Mus musculus: one gene and its partner. The protein of the gene in region 2 interacts with the protein of the main gene of each other region in a pairwise test. Links are inferred from orthologs where the notes say so. Each region holds a gene or a part of one and is shown on either strand. Other genes may lie near its edges. The genes, in order: Dkk1 and Gm9736.

Region 1 (16,668 bases), on a different chromosome or scaffold from region 2:
ATCCCACTGACATGCTTGGATGACTAGTGACAGTTCATGAAAACTAGATATCCTTTATGAAAACCAGATACCCAGTCCAGTAACTTTCTCAGACAGTCAAAACCTGGAAGGAAATATCTACCCGTTTTTTTCTACCATAGTTCTAAGAATGATTTTATTCATTTCTTATTTTTTTAAAATTATCCACCGTGTTAAGCCCAGTGTGTTGTGACACTGATGCTTACAAATGACATAATAAAAGGCTAGAGTTGGCCACTCCCCCACTATCACATCAGTAGAGTCAAGTCATTATACAGTTATTCATGGGAGTCAGCGTCAGTAAGTCAGTGTCTTAGAGAAGAATCTCCTACTAGTTACAGATCTCTACTCAGCTTTTCAGCCTTAAATGTGTCCTATCCTGATTAGTCACTCTTCTTATTACTGTGACCAGCACCTGAGAGAGAGAACTTAAAGGAAATCTTCAAACCTTGATGTCTCCAAGAGATCAGGCCATTAAAGCAGGAAGGCATGATGGAGCAGAATGGTGCCCAGCAGGACAAGCAGAAAGCAGCAACCACACGGTGGCTCACAACCACCCATAATGAGATCTGAAACTCTCTTCCAGTGTGTCTGAAGACAGCAACAGTGTACTTATCTATAATAATAAATAAATCTTTGGGCTGGAGCAAGGAGGGACTGAGTGAATGGGGAATCAAGCCAGGCCAACCGGAGCGAGCAGAGGTCCGAAATAAAATTCCCAACAATCACATGAAGGCTCACAACCAACTGTACAGCTATAGTGTACTCATATACATAAAATAAATAAATAAAATCTTGACAAGGGAGCTAAAACCATCCAGTGGAAGAAAGACAGCATTTTCAACAATTGGTGCTGGCACAACTGGTTGTTATCGTGTAGAAGAATGCGAATCGATCCATACTTATCTCCTTTTACTAAGGTCAAATCTAAGTGGATCAAGGAACTTCACATAAAACCAGAGACACTGAAACTTATAGAGGAGAAAGTGGGGAAAAGCCTTGAAGATATGGGCACAGGAGAAAAATTCCTGAACAGAACAGCAATGGCTTGTGCTGTAAGATCGAGAATTGACAAATGGGACCTAATGAAACTCCAAAGTTTCTGCAAGGCAAAAGACACCGTCAATAAGTCAAAAAGACCACCAACAGATTGGGAAAGGATCTTTACCTATCCTAAATCAGATAGGGGACTAATATCCAACATATATTAAGAACTCAAGAAGGTGGACTTCAGAAAATCAAATAACCCCATTAAAAAATGGGGCTCAGAACTGAACAAAGAATTCTCACCTGAGGAATACCAAATGGCAGAGAAGCACCTGAAAAAATGTTCAACATCCTTAATCATCAGGGAAATGCAAATCAAAACAACCCTGATATTCTACCTCACACCAGTCAGAATGGCTAAGATCAAAAATTCAGGTGACAGCAGATGCTGGCGTGGATGTGGAGAAAGAGGAACACTCCTCCATTGTTGGTGGGAGTGCAGGCTTGTACAACCACTCTGGAAATCAGTCTGGTGGTTCCTCAGAAAATTGGACATAGTACTACCGGAGGATCCAGCAATACCTCTCCTGGGCATATATCCAGAAGATGCCCCAACTGGTAAGAAGGACACATGCTCCACTATGTTCATAGCAGCCTTATTTATAATAGCCAGAAGCTGGAAAGAACCTAGATGCCCCTCAACAGAGGAATGGATACAGAAAATGTGGTACATCTACACAATGGAGTACTACTCAGCTATTAAAAAGAATGAATTTATGAAATTCCTAGCCAAATGGATGGACCTGGAGGGCATCATCCTGAGTGAGGTAACACATTCACAAAGGAACTCACACAATATGTACTCACTGATAAGTGGATATTAGCCCCAAACCTAGGATACCCAAGATATAAGATACAATTTGCTAAACACATGAAACTCAAGAAGAATGAAGACTGAAGTGTGGACACTATGCCCCTCCTTAGAATTGGGAACAAAACACCCATAGAAGGAGTTACAGAGACAAAGTTTGGAGCTGAGATGAAAGGATGGACCATGTAGAGACTGCCATATCCAGGGATCCACCCCATAATCAGCATCCAAACGCTGACACCATTGCATACACTAGCAAGATTTTATTGAAAGGACCCAGATGTAGCTGTCTCTTGTGAGACTATGCCGGGGCCTAGCAAACACAGAAGTGGATGCTCACAGTCAGCTAATGGATGGATCACAGGGCTCCCAATGGAGGAGCTAGAGAAAGTAGCCAAGGAGCTAAAGGGATCTGCAACCCTATAGGTGGAACAGCAGTATGAACTAAGCAGTACCCCGGAGCTCTTGACTCTAGCTGCATATGTATCAAAAGATGGCCTAGTCGGCCATCACTGGAAAGAGAGGCCCATTGGACTTGCAAACTTTATATGCCCCAGTACAGGGGAACGCCAGGGCCAAAAAGGGAGAGTGGGTGGGTAAGGGAGTGGGGGTGGGTGGGTATGGGGGACTTTTGGTATAGCATTGGAAATGTAAATGAGCTAAATACCTAATAAAAAATGGAAAAATAAATAAATAAAATCTTGAGATCACAATAAATTACATCACTTATGGCCTATTTTTGCATTAATTGTTGTTACACACACACACAGAGACATGCTCAGTCTTTATAGTGTAACTTGTGTGTATGTATTCAGGCCTGAACATTTGCCATTAGATTACTAATTAATGGTTCTCTTCAGAGAAAGTATCTTTAATTAGAAAAAGGAGGGAACCCATACAGAAGGAGAGGAATAGACATAGTATAATCTTCACAAGGTATGATTTGTACACACAGAGAGAGGGGGGAGACAGTACCAGGCATGCAAAACCTCCATTCCAGTTGATCAGTGGAGTTCAAGAGATTTCTAAAACAGCATAAGCTACCACTGTTGCCCTTGGTTGCCTCCCAGAACTTGAAGGTGAGGCCCTATAAATGAAAACATCACACACTTCAGACACAGGACTTGGAGGAGTTGGGTTAAAATGGACCTGGAGGCCTCCTCCCTGGGGACTAGCTCTCATAGTAGCTGAAGGTGCTTTGCATGCTGCCAAGGAAGAAAAGTAGTTGGCAGTCTTCTCGCCCAGTGTGAGCCTACAAGCCATGAGAATGACCAGCATTGCAAGATACACTCAAGGATGCAATATCTACCTTGTGAGCAACCAACAGTCATCTAATAGGACTTAAGCCCCACTCAAAAGGAGGGTATTCGTGCCTGTTACTTTATACCCAGCCAACTACCTGTGGCTGCCGATGTCATGCACTCTAGAGGAGAGTCTACTACTGCTACTTTCCTAAAACAGCATCATTTCTGTGTTCGAAACCAAAAGATAAATGTATCTCTCTGCCCTCGTCAAAGAAGTTTCTGGAACCCCCTGGAATTTGAATTACAGATGGCTGTGAGATGAAATGTGTGTGCTTGGAATCAAAATCTGGTCTTCTGGAAGAGCAACAAGTGCTGTTAACTATGAAGCCATCTCTGTAGTTTTATATAATAGTGTGTGTGTGTGTGTGTGTGTGTGTATTATGGATATAATTTTTGAAAATCTTCCAAAAGTCCCCAAAAGTTGACAACATACCACAGGTTAATGAGCTGACATTCTAAGAATGAGGAGAAAGAGTGGCTGGTTAAAACTCTTTTGTATGAGAACATTTTCTAGCCTAGAATTGGGCTTTGGGTCCATAGCTACCTATGACCATGAAGCAACACTGTTCACTGGATTGTTTTCTTATCCAACCAAAGCCCACCTTCTTGGGTATGGAACCACCCAGAGTGGGCTGGACCCTTCCACATCAATTGTTAACCAAGAAAACAACCCCACAGTGCCACAGACCAGGCCCAGTCGCCCCCCCCTCAATCTGTGGGGATCAGGGTCTCAGACAGATGGGCATAGAGTCGGTGAGAATGGGGTAACAAACAGACAGGACACAAGGGACTGTGCTGAATCTGAATGTAATGTCAAATTGAGCATCAGACTTTTTATACAGAAGAAAATAGGGAAGGTAGGTGACACATTGGCAAGATACAATGAGGTTACTGGATGCTTAATGACTCATACACAAAACAGGAATGCAAACACAAAGGCTGGCAGGAACTGGGCAATAAAACAACTGAGACAAAGTCAGCTCTATCTAAGGTCAGCAATAGTCTTAGAAGCCAGGTGTGAGGTCTTTACACTCCAGGGCAAGGGCTCTCTTGCCCAAGTCATGGTTCTAATTAGGGAGTTCCACTCTAGCTAACCTTCTCATGAATAATGCAATACTCTAAAACCACAGCCCGATCTACTTCCTAAACCATTGTAAATTCCTGTATATGGGAGTGACTTGGCTTTTATTCTAAGTGATGGTGTGGGGGACTTTCTACTAATAAGTAATGTAGTCTGCCACACATAACTATAAGAAGAATTCTAAACTTACTTTGCTAAGCTTGCCCTGAGATTTCTAACTCTATGTAGTAGATAGTAATGCCTGATTTCTTTCACTATCTCTCTTACAATACTAGAGGCAATTCTGAATGTCACTGAATAGTTAACATTCTTACTGAATTCAAAGCCCAGGGTCAGCTCAAGGACTACCTACGGCATTGGTGAAGGCCAGGAAGCAAAGTTCAATTTTGCTTAGGTATTTGGCAAGTCATTGCTTGGAGGCACCTATAATAAAACAATACTGAAAGAAAGCACACAGATCCATTTGCAAGGACAAAATTGGAGCATACATGCTATGGGATGCCACAGTTCCAGGAGACTCTTCGCCTCAGGACTGCTTCCAGGTTTCTAAACCTGTCAAGCAAGTCACTACTGGAGTGGATGTAGCACCACAGACATGCCCACAGGCCAACCCGAGGGAGGCACTTCTCGGTGGAAGTTCTCTCTTCCCAGGTGACTAGTTTGTGTCAACTTGACAAAGACTAACCAGCACAAGTTCTCTTTCCCTAGAGAATTCTGACAATTGCTCTTGGGCTTCCAAATAAGCTGAAGCCCAGTAATACTACCATAATCTGAAAATAATATAAATCCAAACTGCACCTAATACACAGTAAAATCTGAAAATTACTTTAAACCCAAAATGCACCTAACATAATGTAAACGACTACCTAACGTGATGGCTCAGCAGTCCATGTAACTGTGGAGTGCTGGTCGGTTGCCTGGTGGCCCCATGACTGACTGGGAGTTATAGCTTCCTGTACACTGCACATCTTACCAATGGTCCTGATAGCCCAGGCAAGATCTAGAGCCAAACATTAAGCTTTTCAGTGAATGGTATTTCTTTCATGGCATAAACTGAAAAATTCTAATCCAAACTACTATTACATTTGAGATCATCTCTTTGGCTCATGATGGGAGTGTTCAGAAAAATCCACAGTAAATAAAATCAGGGCTGGGTTCAAAGTTGAAGGGAAAGCTGCTTTTAGTTTAGTGGATATTTAAGAACCGTGGCTGTACCTGGGTGTGGTGACACAGGCCTTTTATCCCACCATTTTGGAAGTGGAGGTATAGGACTAGAAATGCAAGACCAGCCTAGGCTGCTACATCTCTCACTCTCAAAACAACAAACAAAAGAGTCATACACCCAAAGGGCTTCTGAAAAACAGTTGTAGAGAAAAAGAAAGTTTTAATTGACAACCTCTTTCACTATCTTGTGGAGGGCTTTGGGGGCCACTTCTAGAAACTCAGCAGGAATTTGACATTGGACCAGGACAAGGAGGTAAGCTCAGGCAGGAATCTGACTTTGGACTAGAACAAAGATGTTAAACTCAGGCAGGAATTTGACTTTGGGCTAGGACTCAGGAAATAGTCTCATATTGAGAATATTTACATTTGGGTTAAGGCAAAGCTCAGAGTGGGCCCAGCCACCCAGGAATGTGTGGCACTCCTTTTGTCTTGGTCATCATAAGCCCCTCAACTATTTGAGTTTATTGCCTTGTCTGTTCCTTGACCTAGAACTGACCTTGTTATTTGCATGTACTTAAAATGCTATAAAAGCAGACTGGGAAAAAATTTACTTCAGCCTCTGCACTGGCTGGAGTCATGTTATAATGTTGTCTAATTGTCTTTTTCTTTTCAATTCTCCCTCCCTCCCTCCCTCCCTTGAGACCTGGTTGACTGACTGAGCTGGCCTGGTCATCATCTTCAAAATAAAAAAAAATATATTTTACTCATTCACCTATTTATTTAATGTTGGTGTGTGTGTGCGCACATACATTTGGAGGCCAGAGAATGATTTTTAGTGTCTTCCTCAGTCTCTCTTCAACTATATTTTGAGATAAGGTCTCTCATTACTACTGAATCTCAATGATTCAGCTAAACTGGCTGCCCATCCATCCACCTTCAGGATCCTCCAGCCTCTGCCTGCCTGGTTCTCAGACTACCATTTCTAGCTCCCTACTCCAGCACCTGCATTTTAGGTTAGCTCTGGAGAGTCGCACTTAGATTCTCATGTTTTCATGTCAAGCACCTTACTTAACCACTGAGCCATTTTCCTATCCCTAGTATTGTCGGGAGCTGCTTGCCCTCTTCTCTAAAGCAGAAAGAGACAGAGACAGACAGACAGACAGACAGACAGACAGAGAACCTCCGGGCAGAGTCAAGGCAGGTCATGGTCTGTTGGCAGATTTCCAGGCCTGCTAAGGCACACAGACCGAGAAAAGGATGTGTGCACCTGAGGCTCAGGGCGAGGGGCTAAGATTCTATTGACCTCGGTGGAAGGAATTGGGGGTTGGTTGAGAACAAATGCCTTGTGTATAGTTTAGCAACTTGTTTCTGTTAGCTTGTGGCTTTCCTTCCCAGGGTACCATAATATATGAAGGCTAAGAGAAATACACTCACTTCTAGTGTGGTATTGACCTGCAGCCCTCCCATATCTGTCTCTTGCATCGCTTTTCTATCTTTCCTATAGTCACCCTCACTTCCTCCTCAGAGGTCTGTTCAACTTTGTACCAGCCAGATCAGTACAAAATATTCAATTTTTTCCCTCGTTTTTCCCATACATGAAAGTGAAAATTTCTCTTATTTATGTTTCTCTTTTTTATTTGGATTTATTATATTATTCTACGTGCACAACCATTGAGCCAGTTCTCTACCCACGTCCCACCTTTCCATTTTTCTAATCTCAAACATCATAAAGCAAGAGCATGATAAGTTTTCAAATAAACTGACTTTGCCTATCAATCATGACCTTTACAATAATGGAGAAAGAAAAATTTGGTGTGTATGTGTGTAAAATAGAATACTACTTAGTGCTAAAGGAAAAAAAAATGAAACCACAAAATTTGTAAAAAAAAAAAAAAAAAAAAATGTATGTACTCAGAGTCTAGAGTAATATGAAGCCAAACAATCTCAGGAAGAAAAAAAGCCACATCCTCCCTCATATGCAGAATCTAATGACAGTGCGTGTGTGTGTGTGTGTGTGTGTGTGTGTGTGTGTGTGTGTGTGTGTGTATGTGTGTGTATGTAAACAAGTTTGCATGTAGATGCCATCTAGCATACAACAAGAGAGTCAAAAATGCTGAATGTGAGGGGTGAAGAAGGACAGAATGAGTTATGAATGCTGATGCACAGCTGATGGTTTCCTTGTTCCAATTCTATTGTAGATTTTTTTTATGGCAACAATAAAAAATATATCCATAGTGGAAGCGTAAGACGTGAAGCTCTTGAGTTCTGTTTCCAATGGCTACTCTATGTTCGCTGCACTGTGCGGTCTTTGGGGTGGGAATTAATATGTTGCGTGGGTTTCTGGTTCTTGTTTTTGTCTTTTACTGCTGTTAAGATAACAATGTTTAAAGTTTTTTTTTTTTTAAATCTATAACAACACCAACAACAAAAAGCACAGAAAAAGGCAAACCTTAGGACTTAGGGCTTACATATCTAGCCTCAGTCTTCCTCTCACATCGTTAGGAGGAAAGAAAGGAAGCCAGTTCTCACAGAAGGCTAGTCAGCTTTCCTTACCGCTCCTGTACCTTCTAAGGACATCTGCAGCTAAGCTGAACCCACCAAGCTCCTGAACCTTGCAAACTGCTTTTCACTCTTTTCTCCGGCTTGCAGCTTACGTGAAAGTGGCTTTTCTTATAACTAGAGCCATTTGATACAGCAGTCTGTGGAGGTACTGATGGAACACAGAGTTCAAGCCAAAAAGGTGGGCAGGGATTAATGAAATTATCAGTGAGAAGCCAGCTCAGGTGGCACGGGCTTGTCACCCCAGCATTTAGACCCTGAGGTAGGACGATTGCCATGTCAAGACAAGCCTGGGTTACATGGCAAAACCTTGTCCCAAGCAACAACAGGAAGAAAAAACAAAAACAAAAACAAAACCTCTCGAGTTCTTTTGTTGAAGGTCAATTTACTTCTTTAAAACCATTCTTAGAAAACATAATCTAAAGCCCAATATGAAAACAATGCTGTGTGATTTCTATAGTTGGCACTTGTTATATCTAAAATTTAGTAGATTATAAATATTGAGTTGCATGCTTAAAAGATTTATCACACAAGTTCCAACAGCTTTTATTTTTTTAAAAAAGGAAAACATGAGTGGGCACAAAATTATTACCTGCTTGTATTTTTCATAAGCTTCCTAGATAATATTCTTTTTTTAAAAAAAGTGGAAAATTTGAAATTAACATTTTCTCATTGAAACAAATGACATATTTTCATTTTCTAAAAAGTTTTATAAAAAATGGTTATAGATGAATGAACTTTCCTGAAATACATGCAGCATAGGATTCTCCTTAAGTGTGGTACTTATCATCTGAAGAGCCTAAGTTTTCATCCAGGAATGAGGAATGCTGGTGTGCAAATTAAACCTAACTGAATAAACATTTCACTGAGAGCCTCTGTGCCAGACCCCAACTCCTTAGTCTTTAGACAGCGGTTAGACGCTATCCTATCTTATTCTATTATGCGAAGATTTACTATATATTATATGGAATATTAAAAGTTGGAGACTATTTAGCTTTGAAACGTTTTCAGTGTGAGAGCTGGAGAAGTTATCCCGGGTGTGGTGGCATACCCTCTTAATCCCATCACTCTGGAGGCAGAAGCTGGTGGACCTCTGTGAGTTCGAGGCCAGCCTGGTCTAAACAGTGAGTTCCAGGAAAGCCAGGGCTGCTACACAGAGAAACCCTGTCTCTAAAAACAAAATGAAACAAATCTTCCAAAGAATTATTTTTTTAATTCACTTTAGGTCCAGATCACTTCCGATAGGATCCACCAGGGGGAAGCAGAGGAACGGGATTGCTCCTTCCCGAACTAGCAGTGGTGAGGACTTACCGTCTCTCAGAGCAGAAATCTTCCTGTGCCTCTCCTTTCCCCCTCTACCCTCCCCACTTCTAATTAACCCTGATTTATTTGCCCCGAGAACTGACACCGTGGACCCACAGCAGCAGTGTAGTGCGAAGAGATTTGCGCCCAGGCCAGGGCTTCAACGGGATTACGCTGATGAATTTGCTAAACACAAAGTCCACAGAAGCCCCAAATCCAGCTCTCTGCGAGGCCACCTGGCTCACGGTTGATTAAGACAGGGACCCTGAGCTGTTTGATCTTCTCTCATCAAAGAGTCTTTAAGCAAGTTTCATTTTACACTACTGTAAGGTGGCGATGGCTTGTGACTGCAGTGAGCCGCCTGAGCCAGCGCTCAGGCAATGGAGGTTCGCGGCTCACCCTGGCAGGAAGAGAGTGCAACAGCAGCTTGGAGCTCCAAGATCCTCTCAAGGGGGAAGAATCCTTGCTCCAACCCCTTAGCAGAAGTTAGTACTGTTTCTAGCCTACATCTTGTTTCCACCAAGGTTCTAATACAATGTTCTAGCTGGAAATTTGGGGATGAAGAAACAAAATCATTCATTCATCCATTCTCATTCATATTAATTTGTTCATTCGTTCTCTCACTCCCTTCTGCTCGGGCATCTTTTAGAAAATCAAGAGTCACGTAATTCACCATATTTCCAGAAACTTAGTTTACATTCTCCAAAATCAGCAAGTTCCCAGGGTCCACAATAGTGAGTATTGCTTAATAACGCTGTCTGAAAGACATTTAACCTGAAGACAAAAGGCCTTGCCCAGGACGGCTTAAAGACTACTTTTGTATCCAGAAGGGGGCTCCCTTGACTTCCCAGCATGACATTTACAAATGAAAAGAAAGCTAGTTCCACAATCACAAAGGGACAGTTGTCACCTTGCAGTCCATTGCTGAGCTCCAGCCCTTAGCTTCCAGGGCAGTGGCAAGGGGCCCTTTTGGTCACAGCCCTTGGAGAATGCCAGTATGATACAGGGAGTATGACAAGAACCCAGTGGCACAGAAGAAAATTCCATCTCCTATATATCTGCTGTCCGGGCCCCGCCTTATGCTGGCACCGCCCTATCTTTAGGATTGGAAATATTAAGTCCTACAGGGGATATTATGAGGCAGCTGGACTCCTAGACCCTACCTATCACAGGCCTTTCTGGGAGTCAGGACCTCCTGAAAGATGCTGCTGTCATCATTCTCACCAGACCTCCTTCACTTCTGAGCTCCAGGCTGTTTATGCTTCAAGGGCTCCAGGATCGTTTTCTGAGCTGAGTTAGATAGTCTTGTGACTGTGGCGCTGGGTTTATCTAGGCTAGCCATCTCCAGGGACAGAGCGAAGATAAGCATCCCAAACTCACTTGCTCCTCTTTGTAGGACAGAAAAGCCTACCCACTTCAAGGGACTCCAAACATGAGTCACGTCTGAAAGCTTGTCTATCACGATGAGCATAGAAACTAAAAATCTTTTAAAAGTCGAGGAGAAAGTCATATGCTTTTTATTAAACGTCAGGAACGGGAAATCTTTGCTATTAATTCAAGGCTGGCACCAAGGAAGATGCTGGCAACACCCACCACCTACTTCGAGTTTTCTTATTGAAAGCTCAATAAGAGTTTTAGGGAGGGTGGGGGTGGCACATGCCTTTAATTCCAGCCCTCTGGAGGCAGAGGCAGTCAGATCTCTATTCCAGACAAGCCTGATCTACAGAGCAAGTTCCAAGACAGTCAGAGCTACACAGAGAAACCCTGTCTCAAACAAACAAACAAGAAGAGAAGAGAAGAGAAGAGAAGACAAGACAAGACAAGACAAGACAAGACAAGACAAGACTACAAAAACTAAATGTGAACAGATCGACTACCTTCAGTTTGATAAGGAGAGGGAAGGAATGAAGAGGAGGAGGGGAAAGGAGACAAGGGGGGAGGAGAAGTACCCCCAAATAACGGAGGTGGGAGAGTAGTGTGCAAATATCCCAGGGTTCTGTGTCTTTAAATATTATTTGTCATTTGTCTCATGAATCAGAAGGACCGGTATCCTAGGCTGCTGCCCAACATTTAAAACAGAAGGAAGTCATGTCTCACGCTATCCTCGAGTTACACACACAGTTTAATTCTACTGTGCTAAACATCCCTCCTAGCTTTAAATCTAATACGAAACATTAACTGTATTGCCATAACTATGGTCATAGTGAGAGCATATCCAACAAGATACAAAGTTCCCTCCTGAAGAAATTAAACTAAGTTTGATCGATACAGCAAGGCACTCCATTGCCTGGCTGCATGAGACTCCAAGTCACGTGACCTCTGACTGCCTGAGGCTGGGGTGTGGCTCCAGTTCCTGGACCTCTCTTCTTTTCTCTCCCGACCAATACGCACCAAGTAAAATCTACTTTAAAAAAAAAAACAAAAAACTGTGTGATATACGCCCCTGACCCTAGCAATGGAGGAAACTGTGGTAGAAAATCTAACGTGCAGGCTACATAGTCGGACTCCAGTGGTCTTAAAGTGCTAAGACCCCCCAAAGCAACAACAAAAACCAAGCCAAACAACAGCAAAACTCCCTCTGTGACCTGATACCATGCTTCCTAGGCTGCATGCTTCCTAGACTGGAAGGAGCCTGCCTTCAGCATATGAGAGAACCACTCTTAAGGGGCTCTTCTGGGTGTTCTCCGGCACTGCAGGAGCAGTGCACCTATCTCTTTTGATCTTCACCTCCTGATTATGACACCCCGGAAGTAAGCTCAATCAAAACAAGGGTTCACAAATGGAGAATAGGCTGCACAGGAAATGGCAACTGTCTCCCCCTGTATCATCTGTGAGCTTGCTTCATCTTTTCCTAAATAACTTGAAGATGACTGTTCTTGTTCTTTTTATTATTATTATTATTATTATTATTATTATTATTATTATTATTTATTGAAGCAACAAGGACACTGCTTAGCCTCAGGTGTGGACCTATTCATACCTCCAGAAGGAACATAAAAAGTAGAAAGTGCCAAAACTTCCTCCACCCCCACCCACGCCCCCCACCCACCCCTGGTTTCAACTGTGGGCCTATGTTCTTGGTGAGCTGAGCTCTGCTCATTTAGAGTAGGTGTATTAATCAAGAATCATCATTACATCAGAATATGGGGAGAGAAGTGGCACATATGTGTATTTCTAGGAAAAGATACTTAACACGTTGATCATTGACATTGCTAGTAGTATGCTGAATGTGATAATATGAGCTCACCACCACCACCACATTATTCCACCATCTCCCGGCATCTATGCAAGGTTCAGATCCACTGACTGGTAGGTCTGCGTGGAGCCAGGAAAATCTGATTTATTGTTAGTTATTTGTCCCCCTTTATTATTCCTAATATTCACTTTTAAACAAAATTTTAAAACCTGTTCATTGTTTTCAAATATTTTAAAGATCTGTGGGTAACTAGCCTTGCTACACAATTGCACATATTCCTAATAAAAGCCAGATAAGTACATAGGATTTAATCCATGTTAGACTTTCAACAAACCACAGGAAATTCTTCGGGATGAATGGAGTTTGGGGTAGAATTGAGGCAACATTAAAAGTTACTTGGAAGACACTTAAGTTCTGAAATCCACCAAACAGATATTTAAATATTGTTCATAATATCCCTCCTAGCTCAACTTCAGGGTTATATTTGTACAAGACTGTCATTGGCTATTGTGGGGGTGGGGGGCTTCCTAAGAATAACTATTATAGATAAAGCGGTGTCGTGAATAATTCTAGCAGATCCAGAAGCTAAGGGGCTACAAAGGACATCTCAGCTCACCCTCTCCAACAAGGATTTCAGATCATTTCTTCCTTTTCAGTCTCATACAACAGTTGCTTGTGGTCTCAGATTTATCGATCTGTTCTTAAACATTATCCATTCACATTTCTTATCTTTTGTTATTTCATGACAACTGTCTCTTTTAGCACTGTGATGGTTGGATAAAAGACTGACTTTAATAAAAGTCATTATTACATACATTACCGCTAATTTATAAGCACGGCATTCTTATGTCCATGTTGTTTCTTATTTTACACACTGGGCGAAACCCCTTCAAATTCATTCTCTGATTTAGGTTCAGCACTTCTTTTCCAGGAGGTCCTCTGTTATCTCCCTAGAGGGTTATTCCTCCTGTCCTGTCCTGTCCTGGACGAGGTTTGATTTGGGATCAAAAGCAAGCCCTCTCCTGCTCAGCGATATGAAACACTAATGAGAAAGCCGGGAGCTAAGCCTTCGGGTTTCTTATCTTCTTCTATTAACCCACCGCTGGGAACAGGGAACCAGGGAAAGAGGACTGACCAGGCTCAGGGACCCTGTCCGCTCTGGCTCAGAGCCACTTTGATCTCATGTGTCTGCTTAATCAAGTTCATCTACTGCTGGGATTGACCAGATTCAAAGAACCACATTAAATAGTTTGATTATCGGGTGCCTATTTCCCTCTCCCCTCCATCCCTGATTTAATTTCCAAACGGCAGTCTCTCGCCTCCACCCCCAACCCCCCCAAACTCACCATCAAAAGCGAATTAGTTCTTCCCTTGGCATCCTCATTTGATGTGCAAATTTTCTTGTCTTTGCACATTTTTTTTTCTCCTGGTGTGTGTAGGGTTGGGTGGGGGGAGGGAGGGAGTGGGAAGTGGGGAAGCAACTAGACAAACTTAAAAGACAAGAACCTCATTTGCAAATCGCAACGCTAAAGGGTTAATCAGCAACTATAGGAGCCACCTGGGCTTTTCACAAAACCTTTGATGAATGGCTGCTCGCATTGTATTTAATACTGAATATTATTTGCGTGCGCAGAAAGCGAGGGTACTCATATGGGGAAGAGAAGAAACGTGGTTTTGTATATTCTATCACTTTTAACTCTGACAAGGATTTCAGACAGAACTAACCCAGCCCCACAGCAGAACACTCAAGCTCACAGAGTGCACCCTCCCGCCATTTATTTATTTATTTATTTATTTATTTATAAGTTTGGGCTAGGCTCTAATGCTCTAGTGCTCTAGTGACCCACACTCTAAGGTGAGCTGGACAAGGGGACCACAGTGCAAGGGAGGGGCGAGGGGAGAGTGTCAAAGTCCTCCCTGCTTCCGACACACAAACACTCCCCCTCCCAGCTCCTCCCAAAGCTTTGAAATCCCATCCCGGCTTTGTTGTCTTCCCTGAGGAGCTGGGAGGGCTGGGAGCCTGAGTATAAAGGCAGCCAGAGGTGGCGGTGGCGGTGCAGAGCTGTGCGCCTGGCAGCCAGAGACTCCACCAGCGGAGGTCCCGAAGTTGAGGTTCCGCAGTCCAGACTCTGCAGCCAGCCGCCGTGCAAAGTGACCTCTCTTTTCCTGACCTTTGCCTGTTTGCGTCCTTCGGAGATGATGGTTGTGTGTGCAGCGGCAGCTGTCCGGTTCTTGGCCGTGTTTACAATGATGGCTCTCTGCAGCCTCCCTCTGCTAGGAGCCAGTGCCACCTTGAACTCAGTTCTCATCAATTCCAACGCGATCAAGAACCTGCCCCCACCGCTGGGTGGTGCTGGGGGGCAGCCGGGCTCTGCTGTCAGTGTGGCGCCGGGAGTTCTCTATGAGGGCGGGAACAAGTACCAGACTCTTGACAACTACCAGGTAAGAGGGGTGCTGTGATCCCGACGGGGGTCTCAGAAAGATCTAGGTGTGTGAGATTTGGGGTGTGTTTGGAATCACTGCATTAAGAGCAGCGCGCTTAAGGGGCTTTTGAAGAGGCAGATGGGGACCTTGAAGGTGTGGGTACCAGGATGCTTGAGTTGCTCACCAGTCCGCTCCCTTCCCACAGCCCTACCCTTGCGCTGAAGATGAGGAGTGCGGCTCTGACGAGTACTGCTCCAGCCCCAGCCGCGGGGCAGCCGGCGTCGGAGGTGTACAGATCTGTCTGGCTTGCCGAAAGCGCAGGAAGCGCTGCATGAGGCACGCTATGTGCTGCCCCGGGAACTACTGCAAAAATGGTGAGTCTTGGACTCCTTTTTAAATTAGAACCACCTTGCCTTTGAGGACCCAGGAATCAAATGAAATGCTCTGGTTCTGTCAAAGCTAAGGTGGCGCCACCTGCAAACGCGTGCTCATGCAAGGGTTCTCCTGACACATCGTCACTGGCTTGTGTTTGAGCACTTGAAAGTTTATCTTTCCTTGCCTCCCTCTGTGATCTAACAACAAGACCTGAAAGTGGACCCTTCCATCAAACAATTATCTTCAGGGAGCCTTGGGGCACTTGAGAAAGGGGGAGAGGTCGTTCTGAAAGGGGAGCCAGACGTTTTTTTCTTAAGGTGGACTCTGCGTGGCTTTGCCAGTCTCTCTTTCCTCTAAGGCTATTACAACTGTTGTCAACGGGGAGCTAGAATGATTAATCTCTGCTGGCCAGCTTTTAAAAGAGATCTCTGTACCGCTTACACCCCTAGCTCTCCATCCCTTCTCCCCTTTCCCTCCACCCTCAACTACCTTCAAAGAAGTACTGCCCCCACACACACACACACACAACCACAGATCCACAAAATGTTAATGTCTCAAAGAAGTCTCCAGAAATAAACTTGAGGGGTGGCTAACTTCCTAGGTTACAGCAGCATTCCAGAGTCAACTCACTAAAATCTCCGTAATATCAAAATTATACAGTAAAGTAACTAGCGGGTGAGATCGCAGTCTTCCAGGCAGCCGGAACTGCATTGCGCAGCTAGCACCCAGAGCAGAGAAGTTATTTTTTAAGATTAATTTCTTTTAAGTGACTGGATTTCTTTTTCCTAGCCCAAAGGGTAATATTAAAATAGACAGAAAAGTCTCTACTGCCTCCACTACAATTAGTAGGAAAGCATTTAAAATGGCTATACCTGAGGCGTTCCATACGATTCGACAGTACACTCATTGATACTGCTTTCTCTGGGGAGTTTTGGTAAATAGAAAGGCAGCAACAGCAGTGAGGTAACTCACAGTGGTGTCTGTATAACCCACTGCTCCTGTCTTGGCTATTAGCAGCAACAAACTACAGCCTGAGGATTAATCACTATTTCTGGTTTTCTTAGGAATATGCATGCCCTCTGACCACAGCCATTTTCCTCGAGGGGAAATTGAGGAAAGCATCATTGAAAACCTTGGTAATGACCACAACGCCGCCGCGGGGGATGGATATCCCAGAAGAACCACACTGACTTCAAAAATATATCACACCAAAGGTAGTAAAGGGGCTTTCAGGCTCAGCCTTTCCCATTTAATATATCAGAAGTGCATTTAGAATTGTCTCAGTGGGATGGTACAGGCCTCGCAGTAACTGTAATTTTCCTTCTGTCTCCTTCACAGGACAAGAAGGCTCCGTCTGCCTCCGATCATCAGACTGTGCCGCAGGGCT
Region 2 (15,694 bases):
CTACCTACCCCTGACCCCACCCCGCTATGATAGGATAGTTTGGCTGGGTTTAGAATTCTGGGTTTGTACCCAGGTGGTGGTGCACACTTTAATCCCAGCACTGGGGAGGCAGAGGCAGGAGGATCTCTGAGTTCGAGGCCAGCTTGGTCTACAGAGCAAGCTCCAGGACGGCCAGGGCCACACAGAGAAACCCTGTCTCAAAAAACAAACAAGCAAGCAAGAATTCTGGGTTTTGAACCAATATCCCTCAAGGCAGAGGTGGCAATACTTATTCTGGTGCCCATGTTACTGAGCAGAGGCAAGTGGAGTTTCTCCAGTTCACCTGCCTTTCAACCTCTGTCTGTTGTTTCCTTCCTGAATGCTGGGCTTGTTCTAGAATGCCTGTGACTGAGCTAGGTGTTGCTTTGTGGACTATGAATTCTTTCAGTATGACCTCTCTTCTCAGGATTACCTTAAAAACCAGTTCTCCTTCCATGGCTTTTCCTTCCAAGCTCTAGACATGGTGTAAGCCTTCAGCCGTGTCTCTATCCCTTGTTTTCCTCAGTTTTATCTTTTCATACCCTTCCTTGTGAGATTGTCTTGGTTTTATTTCCAGACACATTCTGCCTCTAGAGAGTCATCTTAACTCTCTATGAAAATTAAGATCCTATGGACACACCAGGTACTCCACTCCCAGTGTGAGCTCAATGAGACATATCTGCCATTTCCTGTCTGGATCAGTCTCTAAAGCCACCACGACAGATCTGTGTATCCTGTAGCTAGCTATGCAGAGAGGGCTGGCTTCCCTTGTGTGGCATGGCTGGGTGTTCTCTCAGGTTGCTGGGAGCAGCAGGGATATACCTCCATTTTTTTTTAATTCCTCTTTTTTCTTTTGGAGACAGTAGCTCCTATAGTCCAGGCTGGTCTCACTATGTAAGCCAAGGTTTTCCCTGAACTCTTGATCCTCTTGCCTCCATATCCCAGAAGTGTGCCACCACCCTGGGCTTATGAGTGGATGCGTCTTCTGGTGAACTCATCTCTTTCTAGAACCTTGTTTGTCTTCTGTGGTCAATCCCACTCCCCACCCCCTGCTTCCAATTCCCAGCGTCTTGATGGTTTGTTTCTTCAGCTCTGGTCTCACAAATCTTTTCAGCTTTTCATCTTAGTCTGAGTCTCCTGTTCATTCCCAGGACTCCATCCTCCCTGGCTCCTGATGCTGGCTCATGCCTTACCTACCCTGGTTTCCAGCTTTCCTGATCTGCGTCTTAGCCCCCCTGCACTTTTGCACACCCCCCCCCCAACCACTCCCCTGCACATCTCCACTTCAGCCTCACCACACTACACCCATCCTGCAGCCTATTGGCAAGCACCCTCACCTGCGGGCTTCTGCTTTACTTTCTAAGAACTCTGGGTGTCCTCCCTCTCCCCTACCTTCCCTCTCCCTTTCTCCCTCCCTGTCCTCATTCTCTAGGAGAGCATCCCGCTCTTAGTTCACAACCTCCCTCATCTATTGATCTCACTTTCCAGAGCTGGAAAACTGCAAAATGAAAAATTGCAGAAATAAATGAGGCCGGCTGTTGAGGTTTGGTCTGTTGCTATGTACCATAATAATAATACCAGCCCCCAAGATCTGGTTGCCTCGGAGATGAGAAGATCCTCACGTACACCAAGTGATGCTATGTGACCTTGCTCTGTAATTTAAAACTATAAAAAGATGTAGCCACAAGCGGTCACGAGAGGCCACGGGTCACTGGGCTCCTGAAAGGAAAGCTGGGGATGGATGGGAGGAACAGCAAGAGAAATAATGGAGCCAAGTCAAGGTTCTCAGATCAAGGCTCAACTTTAATTCTTGAGTCTGAATTTCTAAAAGGGGGAAACCCATCCCCCACCTTGTCAGACTCTCCTTGGGAAGACAAGCTCAGCTGCTCAGGTAGTGGCTTCTTGCAGAAAGCTGCAGATATGGCAGGACAATAGACTTTACCTAGGTCAGAAGACAAAACAAGGTCTGATTCAGCCCACTCAAGGCTGGGGAGAGGACACAAAAAATGCTGATAGTCTATAGCTGGGTAGAGGAGAGGTAGGTGAGGTTTCGGTTCCCAGGTTTGGGGTCTGAGGCAGGACCATGGGAAGGGAGAGAGAAGATGGAGATTGAAGAAGATGCCGTGGGGTAGATGAGTCATGAAAACATGGCCATGAGGGCTGGCCAATTGGAGTAAGAGCAGCCCAGACAGAACATGATAAATTATATCTCAGGGTTATTGACAGGAAAGTAGGCAAAAATAGCTTAGAGGGTAGATATCTTCTCAGCTCTAGTGCTTTAAAAGCTTAAGGTCTTATTATGAATATAAAAATTTTATGTCTTTTGTCTGAGAACGGAATGATCTAATGCAGTGTAGAAACCTCCAATTTGAAATTAAATATTTACTACAGCAGCGGACTTTAAAAATTATTTTTATTATGGCACACTATTGTAAGTGTTCTTGTTGGCACATGGTTCATCTTCTGAGGCTAGCGTCCTTGGAGGTATCTTGGGGCTGGAGGAACCCTCAGGCTGGTGCTCAGCCATGCCCAGTGTTTCAGGCACTCATGGGTGTATTGAGGTGCTGTTCCAGCTCCCTGGGGGGGGGGGTTGTCATCTGCCCACTTGTGCATCTTCCTGCTCTGATTCTGTCCAAGTCCTTCGCTGACTTCCAGATTTGTGGCAAGGGTCCCAGTCACTTGGTCACATTGCTGAAGTGACCCCAGCACAGGAGACTCTGTGGGAGGTTGCTTGTCTGTCTCTTGCTGGGTTAGAGGTGACATCCATCCTGGGCACCTGTGGCAGGTCAGTGGTTCTTCTTTGGGATTAGCACCGTCATCTGAAGATCTCTGGTACCCACAGCCATCCTCTGAGCCCTGACCTGGGACTTGCATCCTGTCTCCATTTGGTTCAACTTCAAAGTTCACCTTCAGAATTAAGGGTATATGGCCATGAGTTCCATGTTCTCAGACAGTATCCTGTGTAAGGTAAAGGGATGGGACTGTTAGTCACAGGGGCCCAGTGATGGCCTGAAGCTCCTACTAGGTAGTTTTCTTGAGAAATGCTTGGTGTGCCATGGTGCCAGCACTTAAAGAGTATGACCAAGGGTATCAGAACATTTGGCTGTCATCAGTGTGTGCCGTAGCTCATTCCAGGCTCCTTGCCCTTGAGTGGTCCTTCTGTCCTCCCCTGCCCTACCTCAGACACCCACAGTCATGGTGTATTGATTTTGAATATACTTGGCCCAGGGAGTGGCACTATTAGGAGGTGTGACCTTGTTGAAGCGGGTGTGGCCTTGTTAGAGGAAGTATGTCACTGTGAGAGTGGGCTTTTGAGACCCTCCTCCTAGCCACATAAGAGTCATTTCTTCTAACTGCCTTCAGAACAAGAGAAGACTCTAATACCATGCCTGCTTGGATGCTGCCATGCTCCCACCATGATGATAATGGACTGAACCTGTAAGTCAGCCCCAATTAAATGTTGTCCTTTATGAGAGTTGCCTTGGTCATGGTGTCTGTTCACTGCAGTAAAACCCTCACTAAGACACATGGTTTACGGGCGTGGTGGCGCACGCCTTTAATCCCAGCACTCGGGAGGCAGAGGCAGGTGGATCTCTGAGTTCGAGGCCAGCCTGGTCTATAAAGTGAGTTCCAGGACAGCCAGGGCTATACAGGCTATACAGAGAAACCCTGTCTCGAAAAACTAAAAAAAAAAAAAAAAAAAAAAAAAAAAAAAGACACATGGTTTAGGCACAGAATGTCCCCAGAAGGTTATGTGTTGAATGCCTGTTCTCCAGTTGGTGGTACTATTTGGGAAGGTGGATGAAACATTAGGCCTCCGGCCTTACTGGAGGAAGTAGGCCACTGGGGGCGGGCCTTTTGAGGTTCATCCTGCCCTTCCTCCTTTCTGCTTCCTGTCTGCCATGAAAGGAGCCACCTTGGCTCCATGCTCAGGTTCTGTGGCTTTCTATCTTATCACAGGCTCAGAACGAACAGGGTAAAAGCTGGACACTTTGGAACCACGAGTCAGAGGACTTACCCTCAACCCCTGATTCTACATATCATCCTTAGCTCTCTATGCTGATATTTGTCTCAGCATTCATTGAGCAGTCTGACTGGCCTGTATCCCTGCTGTCCATTCCCAGAAGTCTTGTGCTGTGTTTTCCACACATGACCTCATGCCATCTCATCAAGCACGATGCTTCCACCTGGCTGCCTCCTCTACAGCTGTTCAATGTTCCCTGTGTGGACAGCCCACACACATCTATCCACCCTTCTGCTGTGGACATTTGAGTAATTTCCTATATCTGTTAGCAGTGTGAACCTGAGTGGGGACTGCTCTATATCGATGGATGTTCTCATTTCTCCCAGGATGAAACCTGAGGCTGGCCTGACAGAGTTCTTTGGTCACCTTGTGATTTAAAGTTTTGGAAACGGTCTTCCAATGTGGCCCCACCAGGAAAGAGGCTCATAGGAGACAGGGGACACACTCTCCGGGTACTGGAGGGCATCCCTCTGGCATACTGGTCACTAAGCAGGTGAGGTCCTGTGTTTTGGGCATCAACGTGCAGATGTGAGAAGGGCAGACATATGTTGGGTGTGACCTCCAGTCAGGTTGGGCCTTACCTGTTGGCCATTCAACAACCACAGCAGTATCATGTGACCATCATCATGGCCCTTTGGGACCTCTTATCTATGGGCACATAGATTTGTTCCCAAGAAAGTGGACAAGGCTGTGTCATTTGCTCTCTGGTGCTGGGATGTCTCAGTGGTTATCTTGGGTAGTTTTCTGAGTGGGGGAAGGGAGGTGACCCCTGAGCACAGGAAGCACTGTGTGGGGCACCTGGGACTGCTGGCACAGCTGGTGTTACCTCATGTGTCAGTCACTCTTGTTGCTGCTGTAACAAAATGCCTGACGGGAAGCAACTTAATAGAAGAAAAGGTTCATTCTGACTCACGGTTGCCAGGGACACAGTCCATCACAGTGGGGACAGCGCATTGTCAGGAGAACGAGGCGACTGTGTTCCCTGTGCCCTGAACTATTTCCTGCCTGACTTTACCTGCTCTTGGAGGTTGGAGGTGAGGTAGTACAGAGTCCATGACACAGGCTCTGGGAGCAGGTAAGAAATGCTGCAGCAGGCTCACCTGAGCACGGCTGCAAACTCCTTTAATACCCTCTACCCACACCCTCATTGGTCCCAAGAAGGCATCTCTTCTAAACAGCAGTTTCTGATTGGCTGACATTGTCTGTACCGGCAATCCTTGGTCTCTCAGACAGTCCTCAATTAGGTCCCCGTGCAGGAGATGGGTTGTTGACTCTGTTCCACATCACTTCCAACCCCCAAGGGCAGGAAGGTAGTCTAGGGCACAGGCAACACCACTGGTCAAGAAGGGGGGAGGGAGGCAGGGAATGCCCATATTCAGCTTGTTTTCTTCTTCTTTTTATCCAATCCTGGCCCCCAGTGCATAGAATGGTGCCACCCATTTAGGGTGGGCATTCCCATCTCAGTTAATCTGATCTGGAAACTCTCCCCCAGACATGCTGACTTGGTCACCGTTCTCTGCTGTGAAGAGACACATGACCAAGGCAACGTATAGAAGAACACATTTTATTAAGCGCTTCCGTATAGCTTCAGAGGGTGAGTCCATGGCTGTCATGGCAGGAAGCCCAGAAACAGGTACACAGGCATGGCGCAGGAACAGCAGCTGAGAGCTCGCATCTCAATCCATACAGAAAGAGCAAGATTGGGCCTGACTTGGACTTTTGAAACCTCTAAGCCCACCCCCAGTGACACACCTCCTCCAACATGGCCACGCCTCCTAATCCTTCCCAAAACAGTCCCACCGTCTAGAGACCACGCCTTCAAATATATGACCTTAAGGAGGCCTGCAGCTAGTCCTCTGTGGTCAAGGGCAAAGGGTTGGGAATAACTAGAGCAGTGGAGAAGCGCCTGTGGGGAATAGTTCCCCAGATGAGGACTTGAGTCAGCAGCGAGACTTCTGGCCTGAGGAGAAGAAACCACATATGTTGACAATTTGTTTCCATGGTGATAACAGATCCGGTCAAGTTGACATTATTAACCACCCCATTCCACCCAGCATTTACTCAAGTGGTCCCTGTGCTCCGGCTGGGTGGGATGTTGGATCTGGAATGCCAGTCACCAAGACAGGATACCAGTTCCACTGCTGCTGGCAGTGGAGAAGAGGTGCAGCAAGAGGACTCACAGCTAGACTGCTGGCAGCATGAGGAGGAAGTGTGTAGAGCAGCTCCTTGGAAAGGCTCCTGGGCACCAGGGCTGCAGGAAGGGTGCTGGAATCTAGGAGGATTGCATTGGCAAGAGGCGTCCAAAAGACTGTACAAGGTTGGCATTCTTGGGGCTTTTGAGCCTTATAGCTGGAGCTGGAACTGGAGCCCTGGTTGAGATGTGGACACTGGGAAGGGTAGAACTTCCATGAAAGATGGAGACAGAATGAGCATTGTCATTCCCCCACAGTCCTAAACTCAGATACTAAGTAGCTGCTCCGAGAAGTGCCAGCTGTACCCTTGAGCTAGGTTTCATTTGATGCATGAGATATGGACCCACCATGCCCACCCACCCCTTCACACACACAAATACACACCCACACATAAGACACAGGTCATTAGGAGACAGAGGCAGGTTTAAAGATTTATTTTTCTTTAATTTTAAGAGTGTGTGTGTGTGTGTGTGTGTGTGTGTGTGTGTGTGTGTGGTGTGTGTAAGCTCATGCACACATGTATTTGTACATGCATGTGCAAAATGAGTTCAGGTGTTGTCAGGGGGCAGCAAAGTCCTTAGGAAAGGAATTACAATTCACAGCAGACACCCTCTGTGCACTGGGAACAGAACTCAGGTCCTATGCGAGTGTATGTGCTCTTTACCCCTGAGCCATCTCTCCAGCTCCTAAAGGCAGGGTTATGAGAATATGCATAGTAGCAGGTCAGATAAGGCCCCCATAAGACTAGGGCTGCTGGAGTTGGGAATAATCTTAGGACTTGAGGCCTAAGAAGTCAGTGGAACTCCATTCAGGCAGCCTCAGAGAAGGGCTCAGAGGCCAACCACCGGCTGGGTAGCCATGGCTAGTCTTCTGTGGTCAAGGCTAGAGGGTGGGAATGGCTAGAGCTAGCAGGAGCAGGGTGAGGGGGAGAGCAGCCTGCATTGGATAATACCCCAGAGGAGGACTTGGGATCAGCAGCTGGACTTCTGTCCACAGCAGGCCTGTCTGGAGCAGGCAGGGCGGCACAGCAGGGACACACTGGAGGTTGGACAGCAGCAGCTGGGTTGGCAGGAGGAGGCACAGCAGGAGGAGGTGGGCACACAGCAGGCAGGTCTGCACACTGGGCGGCACAGCAGGGACACACTGGAGCAGGGCTTGCAGCAGACTGGAGCACAGCAGGAGGGCTGGCAGCAGGAGGAGGAGCCAGAGCAGATGGGTGTGCAGCAAACAGGCTTGCAGCAGACAGGCACACAGCAGGGGGATTGACAGCATGAGGACTGGCAGCTAGACTGCTGGCAGCATGGTCCAGGGCAGATGGGTGTACAACAGACAGGTTCACAACACAAAGGCTCACAACAGATAGGTTCACAGCAGGGCTGCTGGCAGGGAGAAGAGGTGCAGCAAGAGGACTCACAGCTAGACTGCTGGCAGCATGAGGAGGAAGCGCCACAGCAGACTGGCACACAGCAGACAGGTTTGCAGCAAAGGGTCACACAGCAGGGCTGTTGGCAAGGGGAGCAGGTACAGCAAGCTGGCTGGCAGCTAGACTGCTGGCAGCATGACGGTGTGCAGCAGGAAAATTGGCAGCAGGGGCTGGACACACAGCTCACTGGGGTGCAGACAAGGGTCAGGCAGGGGGCTGGGGCACAGCAGCTGGGGACACAGCAGCTGGGCTGGCAGCAGCTAGACTGGCAGCAGCTGGGGGCACAGCAGCAGGGCTCACAGCAGCTCTCTGGGCAGTCATCCACCTGCCAGGAGGAGTTGGTGCAAGCGTCAGAGCAGACAGACATGGTGGAGGTGGCCATGGCAGGGTTGGCTGGAGGAGGGTGTGTGTGTGTTGAGTGACTGTGTGAGTGTTGAGTGAGTGTGTGTGTGTGAGGTGCTCTGGGCTCTGTGCTTTTATCCTTCAGGCATGTTTTGCCTCAGGAGACTCTGTACACTTTCATTTCCTTGTTATTCAGTCTGGAGGATGCTCTGCAGGGCTCAGTCATTAACTCCTGTTGGACTGGTTGCTCCAGCAATAAACACATCTGGAGGGAAAGCACAGACTTCCTGGGCTGACCCTGTGCCCCCTGCCTTGTGGTGCCTGCCAGGGTACCTGGTGATGATGCTGAGCGTTTAACTATTGTATCCTCCAGTCCTGTCATCATTCAAGGGGTGGTCCAGCCTGCCTGAGGCTAGGAGACAGGTGATGGCCCCATCACAGGCTTATCTGTCCTGCATCAGGAACCAGCTCTGTTGCAAGAGCATCCCACTTATAGCTTCTGCTCTCAGGTATCCCTGATATTGTCAGAAGCCTTGGTTCAGTGGTGCCCCAGACACAGTAGACAGAGGTACTTTCACAGAAACAAGTGAGCAGAGATCAGCAATTGCTGCACTGAGTAGGGCTTCTGTGCCACACAGTGTGGGCTTTCTGCCTCATATACATGCTGCAGTTTCTCATACAACCTCTGTCCCATTGACTTCTCCACACAAGTTCATGTGTGACCAGTGTCTACAACATCTGGGCCCAGAGGTGTGCTATAGCGTTGTGATACCCACAGCTCAAGACCCCTCTGGACCTCTGTATGTGTAAGTATATGTTTATATGTGTATGTGTATGTATGTGTGTGTGATGTATGTGTATGTATATTTGTTTTTAAGGAGTGGCCCCTGTTCCCCTATGTCCAGTCTTAGGATTGCTCTGTTTTCTTAAATAAATTAGTTTGGACAGTCCTTTGTCTTAGATGGAGTTGTCTCTCCTTTCATGGAGTTTTGATGGTTCTGGGCAGCAGGTTCCCTGGACCGTGAGTGTTCTGAGGATCATCACTGACTTCTCTAACAAAGTCCTCTGCTGCCCTGTGCTTTCTTAATCTTGGTGGTTTAATTTCTTGGGCTGGTGAGATGGCACAGCTGGTGGGAACACTGACTGCTCTTCTGAAGGCCCCGAATTTGATTCCCAGTGGCCACATGGTGGCTCACAGCCATCCGTGGTGAGAAATGATGCCCTCTTCTGGTGTATCTGAGGTCAGCTACAGTGTACCTAAGTACAATAATTAATAAATCTTTAAAAAATTTTTTTCTTCTCTTGTGTACCTTGTGTTTTTGTGACTTGCCTGAGATACCACAGTTGAGTCTTTGGTCAGGAGATTGGCTTTTATGCCTTTTTCTATGATTTTGTAGCTTTAGCTCCTGCATGTGGTTTTCTGATTCATCTTGAGTTAATTATTTTTGATATGGCATTAGCATATAGCCTTATGTTCAGCATGTGACTGTCCTAGCAACATTTGTGGGAGAGACCGTCCTTCGGTCACCGCATGTCCTGGTGCTGTTGTTAGAAATCAGGTGATTGGGCTTAGTCCACTGATGTACACACCCACCATTGCTGCAGAAGCAACAGCAGCACCATGGTTTTGACCCCAAGGACTTTACTGCTGGTAATCATATTCCTCATTGCCTAATGGCTTTGGCTCTAACCTCCAGTACATTGTTGAGTGGACGTGGACAGCCTCACCTTGTACCTCTCCTTAGAAAGGGTTATGGGTAGCCTCCTTAGAAAGGGTTATGGGTAGCCTTCATGGGTGTCTTGTTTCCCACTGAGGATATTCTGTTGGTTTTGTTGAGTGTCTCTATTAGGAAAGGGTGTCAGAACTTTCTGGGCATCTTTTTATCCATGATTGAGATGGATGTGAGTTTCCTCAGGCCTCTGAAGTATACCACCCAGGTCTACAAAGCCACTGAGTCAGCTTTGCATTCCTCTCCTCCCTGTCTGTGCAGTGCAATCCTTTCCTATGCTGCTGGGCTCGTCCTGATTGTGTTTTATGGATGGGAAATGGTAGTAGGAGAGCTCATAATTCTTTTCTAGATGTTTGCTGTTGTTTGGGTTGTCATTCCATCGACCCCAATCCATATGAAGCTGAACTGTGAAGAACCCAACAGCTCTGGTACCCTGAGGAGAGCTGGCCATGTCAGAAAGCCATTGGTAGTGCAATACAAAAAAAAAAAAAAAAAAAAAAAAAAAAAAAGAAGAAGAAGAAATAGAAGGCCTGCAGTGATGGCTCAGAGGTTAAGAGCACTGACTATGCTTCCAGGCATCCTGATTTAAATTCCCAGCAATCACATGGTGGCTCAAACCATTTGTAATGGAATCTGATGCCCTCTTCTGGTGTTTCTGAGTACAGCAACAGTGTACTCATATACATAAAATAAATAAGCAAATAAATAAATTAATTAAGAAATCTTTTGAAAAAGGAGAGAGAAGAGGAGGAAGAGTAGGAGGAGGAGAAAGAGGAGGAAAAGGAAGAGGAGGAGAAGGAAGAGGAAAAGGAAGAAGAGGAGGAGGAGGAGGAGGAGGAAGAGGAGGGATAGAAGGAAAACGAGGGCTCAGAGAATACCGTGCACAGCCATACAAATCAAGCGAAACAGCATCAGCTTTCCCTACCCTGCAGACCAGCTAACAGCTTAGGCCAAAGAAATCTCAATGAATTTGAAACTGTTGAGGTCATATGAGGTATAACCTCAAGACAGAAAGAAATAGAAACGGAAAGGGAAGGAGAACCAGAGAGTTCACACCAATCTGTAGAAATAGAAGACACACTTAGATAGCCAGGGAGTCAGGGGCAGAGGCTGGATGATACAAGAGGCGGTTGAAAATGAAAACACAACAAACCCATGCTGGGAATAAACAGCACACGAGGGAAACTCATAGCCTTGAAGGAAGCGCCCAGACCAGCCATCTAAACTCATACCTCAAGGAACCAGGAGCAGGAAGCACAAACAATCCAGAGACAGCAGTACACAGGAAATACAAATTAGAGCCAGACATGGAGGTCAGGGAAAAGCAGCCATTGGGACAGGGGCCACAAAAGGCCACACTTGCTGATGTTTAACCCAAGGAAAGGAAAAGGAGCCGTAAATAACTAAAATCACAGGGGAAAACAGGGTCCTGATGTGTGTTTACATGAGCAAGATGGGGTAGATAGAAGAGCACACTGAACCAAGTACCATACCTCCATATTTAGGGACAGACGAGGGAACTCAGGTGTCAAGGGCAGACTCCAGGCAGCCTGGAAACCAGCTGTAGACAAATCTCATGTCTTCCTGTGGCTTCAAATGCTATTCCAAGTCCTTTCTGCTATGAATAAAAAAAATCAACTATTGCAGAGCACTTCTGGGAGCCATAAACTCTCTTAACTATGCAGAAATACCTTACTTTCTCGATCTTTTTTTTTTTCTTTTTCTTTTGTGTGATTAAGCCTAGCCTCCTGCACATGCCCCAAAGCATTTCATGTTGGAGTAGTTATAGGGACTTAGTGCTTTTATATATTTTCTCTTATTTTCAGACCAGGACTTTACTAGGTTGGCTTTGAACTTGCAATTCTCCTGCTTCAGTGATCTAAGTAGTTTGGGACTGTAGGTAACAGTTATCGTGGACACCTCCCCATTGTGTTCAAAGGACAGTTTGCTGTCCACTTCTGAGTGGACTGTCTCCTCCCTATTTTTTAAGTATGCCAAGCCATTGCTGTCTAGCCTTGGATTCAGGTGAGAAATGAGTTTCTAACTGGCACTGTTGTCTTGTAGTCACTGTAACTGCATCAGAGTGTGTCTTCTGGGTGATCTTTGTGTTTCCTCTCCCTGGAGTTCATTGTGCTTCTTGGACATGAAGCTCTAGGAGCCCTGTCCTTTTGGGGGAATGTTTTCAATTATTTCTGGAAATAAACCAACTATTTTTTGTTGGAATGGTGTACACTGGAGCTTTACTATCTCATCTGTAAAGGGCACATTTTGATGGAACTGCAGAACACTGTGACCTCTCATGACCACCCAGCTACATAGTCCGTTCACCATGTTAGAAACAAAACAAGGGACTGGATAGAGGGCTCTGCAGTTAAGAGCACTGGCTGCTTTTTCAGAGGTCCTGAGGTCAATTTCCAGCAACCACATGGGGACTTGCAACCATCTGTAATGGGATCTGATGCTCTCTTCTGACATGCAGGTGTATATGCAGATAGAGCACTCATGTAAAATAAATGAATGAACCTGAAAAGAGAATACATTAAAGTAGGTAAAAACAGGTCTGGAGAGATGGTTCAACAGTTAAGGGCACTGACTGCTCTTCCAAAGTCCTGAGTTCAATTTCCAAGAACCACATAACGCCTTACAACTGTCTACAATGGAACCAGATGCCTTCTTCTGGCATGCAGGTGTACATGCAGATTGAGCACCCATGTAAAATAAATAAATAAATAAATCTCAAAAAAAGAATACATTAAAAAGGTAAAAGGAAACAAACAAGAAGACACTCAAAACAAGCAACAACAACAACAAATCCCTGTCCCTATCTGATGCTAACTTGCCCCCCCTTCAGCCTGGGCTACCCCAATCTTGCTCTCAATTGCTTTAAGTTTTCTTCATATATATTCCAATCCTTTGTCACTCTCTCCTGCTGTGTGTCCTATTAAGCCAGGGTTGTTTGCTATGTCCCGTGTATTCTGCAGGCCAGCAAGGCTGGGCGGACCTCACTGCCTTCATTCTGGGTCCTGCTTTCCAAACTGGAATATTTCAGCTTGCCTGTCTTTCCAGATTCTAAGCTTTTCTTTAGCCTGCTCAGCTCTGTGATTGAACCTGACAGTTTGCTAGAGTCTCTGAGAACATTGGGGTCAACAGAGTGACAAGACACGAGAGAACAAGAAGGCATTTGGGTAAAACAGGACTCAGTAGCTGGTGTTGGTTCAAACTTTGTCAGTCTGACCCCAAGCTGTTTCTTTTAGGCCTATTTAGACTCAGCACCATCATTGCAAACAATTCTTGTGATGATTAACTTAATCCATTGTTCCCAGGAAATCATACCCAAGTCCCTTGGAGGAACAAAGTAAACAAAATGCAGATCAGACTACATCAAAACCCTTTGTAAAGTCCATGGGATATGTTCCATAAAGATAATAGGCTCTATAAATTGATTAAGAAACATAAGTTTAGAGGAAGGGTCTGGTGCCCAAAAATCTCTGGCCACACTGATGGCACAAAAGTCACTGGTCACAAAGCACACACCTGCTCCAGCCTCCTGGATGGAGAAGGGTTTTTGCATTCTTCCCCTTGAAGGAACAACCATAAGTGCATGCAGTTCCAGGTTCCCTGAGAGCATGACTATGAACACAAAAACATCTGTGTCCCCTACACCAGTAACTTTCTATATTTAGTTCCTTTTAAGTCATGTCCCCTCCCCTCCCCTATTCTCCCTTGTTTGCCATTGTAGACAGGGCTTGCCATTCAGTGTGTCTGGTCTCATATGCTCTTTGCCTTGTGCAGCAGACTCTGTCTTGACTTCTTTATGCCCTGATTTGTAGTCCTTGCTTCTTCTGGTTTGGGATGTGGTTCATTCTTGAGTTTGTGAGGCCTTGGGGAGCATAGCTAAAGTGAGAGCTTAGGTGGTTTGATTTCGGTGTTATCTTTCTATCTCCTGATGTGGGTATTCCTGATAAGAACTTCACTCATTGCTGCTTTTGTTCTTTCCCGGGGCTTTTGTAGGTGGTATTTATAGGATCAGTGGCTGTCTTAGTTAAGGTTTTACTGCTGTGAACAGACACCATGACCAAGGCAAGTCTTATACAGGATAACATTTGATTGGGGCTGGCTTACAGGTTCAGAGGTTCAGTCCATCATCATCATCAAGGTAGGAGCATGGTAGCATGCAGGCAGGCATGGTACAGGAGGTGCTGAGAGTTCTACATCTTCATTTGAAAGTTGCTAGTGGAAGACTCGCTTGCAGGCAGCTAGCATGAGGGTCTTAAAGCCCACACCCACAGTACACACCAACTTCAACAAGGCCACTGCCACTCCAACAAAGCCATGCCCATTCCAACAAGGCTACACCTATTCCAACAAAGCCACAACTACTAATAGTGCCACTCCTTGGGCCAAGCATATACAAACCCTTACATATTTGATTCATTTCTATTTCTCTATAATATTCTAGTATTCTGACACTTTCATATGGAAATCCCAATGGTATTAGACTTTCTGACATTTCTGCATAATAAGACCCTCTTCATCCCTTCTTGTAATACTGGAATCATGGCCATGAATTCATTTTTGTTTATTGAAGAAGTTCTTTGTTTCTTCTTGGATTCTGAAGCCTTGCTGGGCTTAGTAATCTTGTCTGGCAGTTATTTTTTCTAGGACTTCAGTACACCGTTCCCCACGCACTGGGCTGCAGAGCTCTGCTCAGGGGTCTGCAGTTGATCTGGGCTGATTGATTGCTATCAAGTGCTACTTGATGCTTCTCCCCTTTGTAGACGATGTGCGGTGGTGAGGGCTTTGTTGTGTCCAGTTAAGGTTCTTTAGACCTTGGACCCTTCCCTGGGTAGCCCTGTCTGTCCTAGGGAATTTTCTAGAATATCAATGTATAGATTTTCTATGCTCTTACCTTTTTTCTCTTCTCCCTAAAGGGTGCCAGTGGTGCTGACACCAATGATTGACAGTGTCCCAAAGGTCTCCCCTACCTTTTCCAATCTTCACTCTTTATTATTGTCTCATGGTGATCTTTTAAAAGACCTGTCCGACAGGACTGGTAGATGTGAAAGCTGTCATTATTCTTTACCACTGCTGGGAGGTTGTCACCTGAGAAGGGACCTTGTGCTCTCTAGAAATGGGATGCTGTGACCCTGAGCTGTGGGCTATGGCTGGAGCAGGCGATTTCCCTTCAGGTGAGCTGCCTGCAGTTGCTAGAATGTCCTTAGTCTGTGCACCTTACAGTGGACTGTGGTCAGCCTGTGGGCGTGGTCAAGGAATCTCAAGGCTCTACTCTGACCTTGTTGGTGACCAGGACTGGGTCAGCACCTAGATGAGGTGGTAGGATCTGCACAGCACCTGCCCTCAGTCCTGGAATTCCTGTAAAGCCTCGACACTGAGTTTTTCCCAGAGTCTCAGGACAAAGACAAACCCTCTCCTCTTCTCCAAGGTATGCCTCTTCCTCACAATGAAATCCTTTCCGAGGATTTATCAGAGTCACTCCGTGAGCCCCAAGACAGGAAAGCACTGGCCCAGACCCAGAGGAGATAGAACCCGGATCCCAGTATCAGAGCATGGAACAGGGGGACAGAAGAAGTGGGTCTGTGTAACAAATCCAAGCCTCACAACTGAAGATACACAGCTGGTGGAAGAGAATGACAGAAACTACGGAGACTGAATCGATGAGAAGTTTTATTAATGTGCATTGGTCTAGAGTGGTACAGCTGACCACAGATGCAGGGTCATCCAGTCAGGGAGGGAAGGGAAGAGGAAGCCAGCTCTCCTGGGACCTGGTGGAGGAGGAACCTGCTGAGCCTTCTAAGGGGTCTAGTTATGGTCAGGATTCCCTAAGACTGTATACATCTTTCTTCTGAGCTGTCCCTCCATCAGTAGCAACCACAGGCTGATGGAGGTGTGGTTCTGTGCCCTGCTGCCTTCGTGGGTCCTGGCCCTCAGCAGCTGGACTTCTGTC

What was found.
Region 1: the proteins of Gm9736 (region 2) and Dkk1 interact in a two-hybrid assay, tested with the Homo sapiens proteins (2 studies listed by BioGRID and IntAct). The two-hybrid records come from large-scale screens. The link is inferred for Mus musculus from reciprocal best matches to the Homo sapiens genes KRTAP10-1 and DKK1.

What each region holds. Positions count from the first base shown.
Region 1 is NC_000085.6:30,547,390-30,564,057, reverse strand, and holds the start of Dkk1 (dickkopf-related protein 1 precursor), read left to right. Parts: upstream 1-14,561; 5' UTR 14,562-14,678; coding exon 14,679-14,924; intron 14,925-15,111; coding exon 15,112-15,280; intron 15,281-16,345; coding exon 16,346-16,495; intron 16,496-16,619; coding exon 16,620-16,668. UniProt on the Homo sapiens protein: Antagonizes canonical Wnt signaling by inhibiting LRP5/6 interaction with Wnt and by forming a ternary complex with the transmembrane protein KREMEN that promotes internalization of LRP5/6.
Region 2 is NC_000076.6:77,743,316-77,759,009, forward strand, and holds Gm9736 (uncharacterized protein LOC77763), read right to left. Parts: upstream 8,109-15,694; 5' UTR 8,040-8,108; coding exon 7,206-8,039; 3' UTR 7,056-7,205; downstream 1-7,055. Other genes in the region: Gm3233 (predicted protein 3233), read right to left, coding at 15,675-15,694. UniProt on the Homo sapiens protein: In the hair cortex, hair keratin intermediate filaments are embedded in an interfilamentous matrix, consisting of hair keratin-associated proteins (KRTAP), which are essential for the formation of a rigid and resistant hair shaft through their extensive disulfide bond cross-linking with abundant cysteine residues of hair keratins.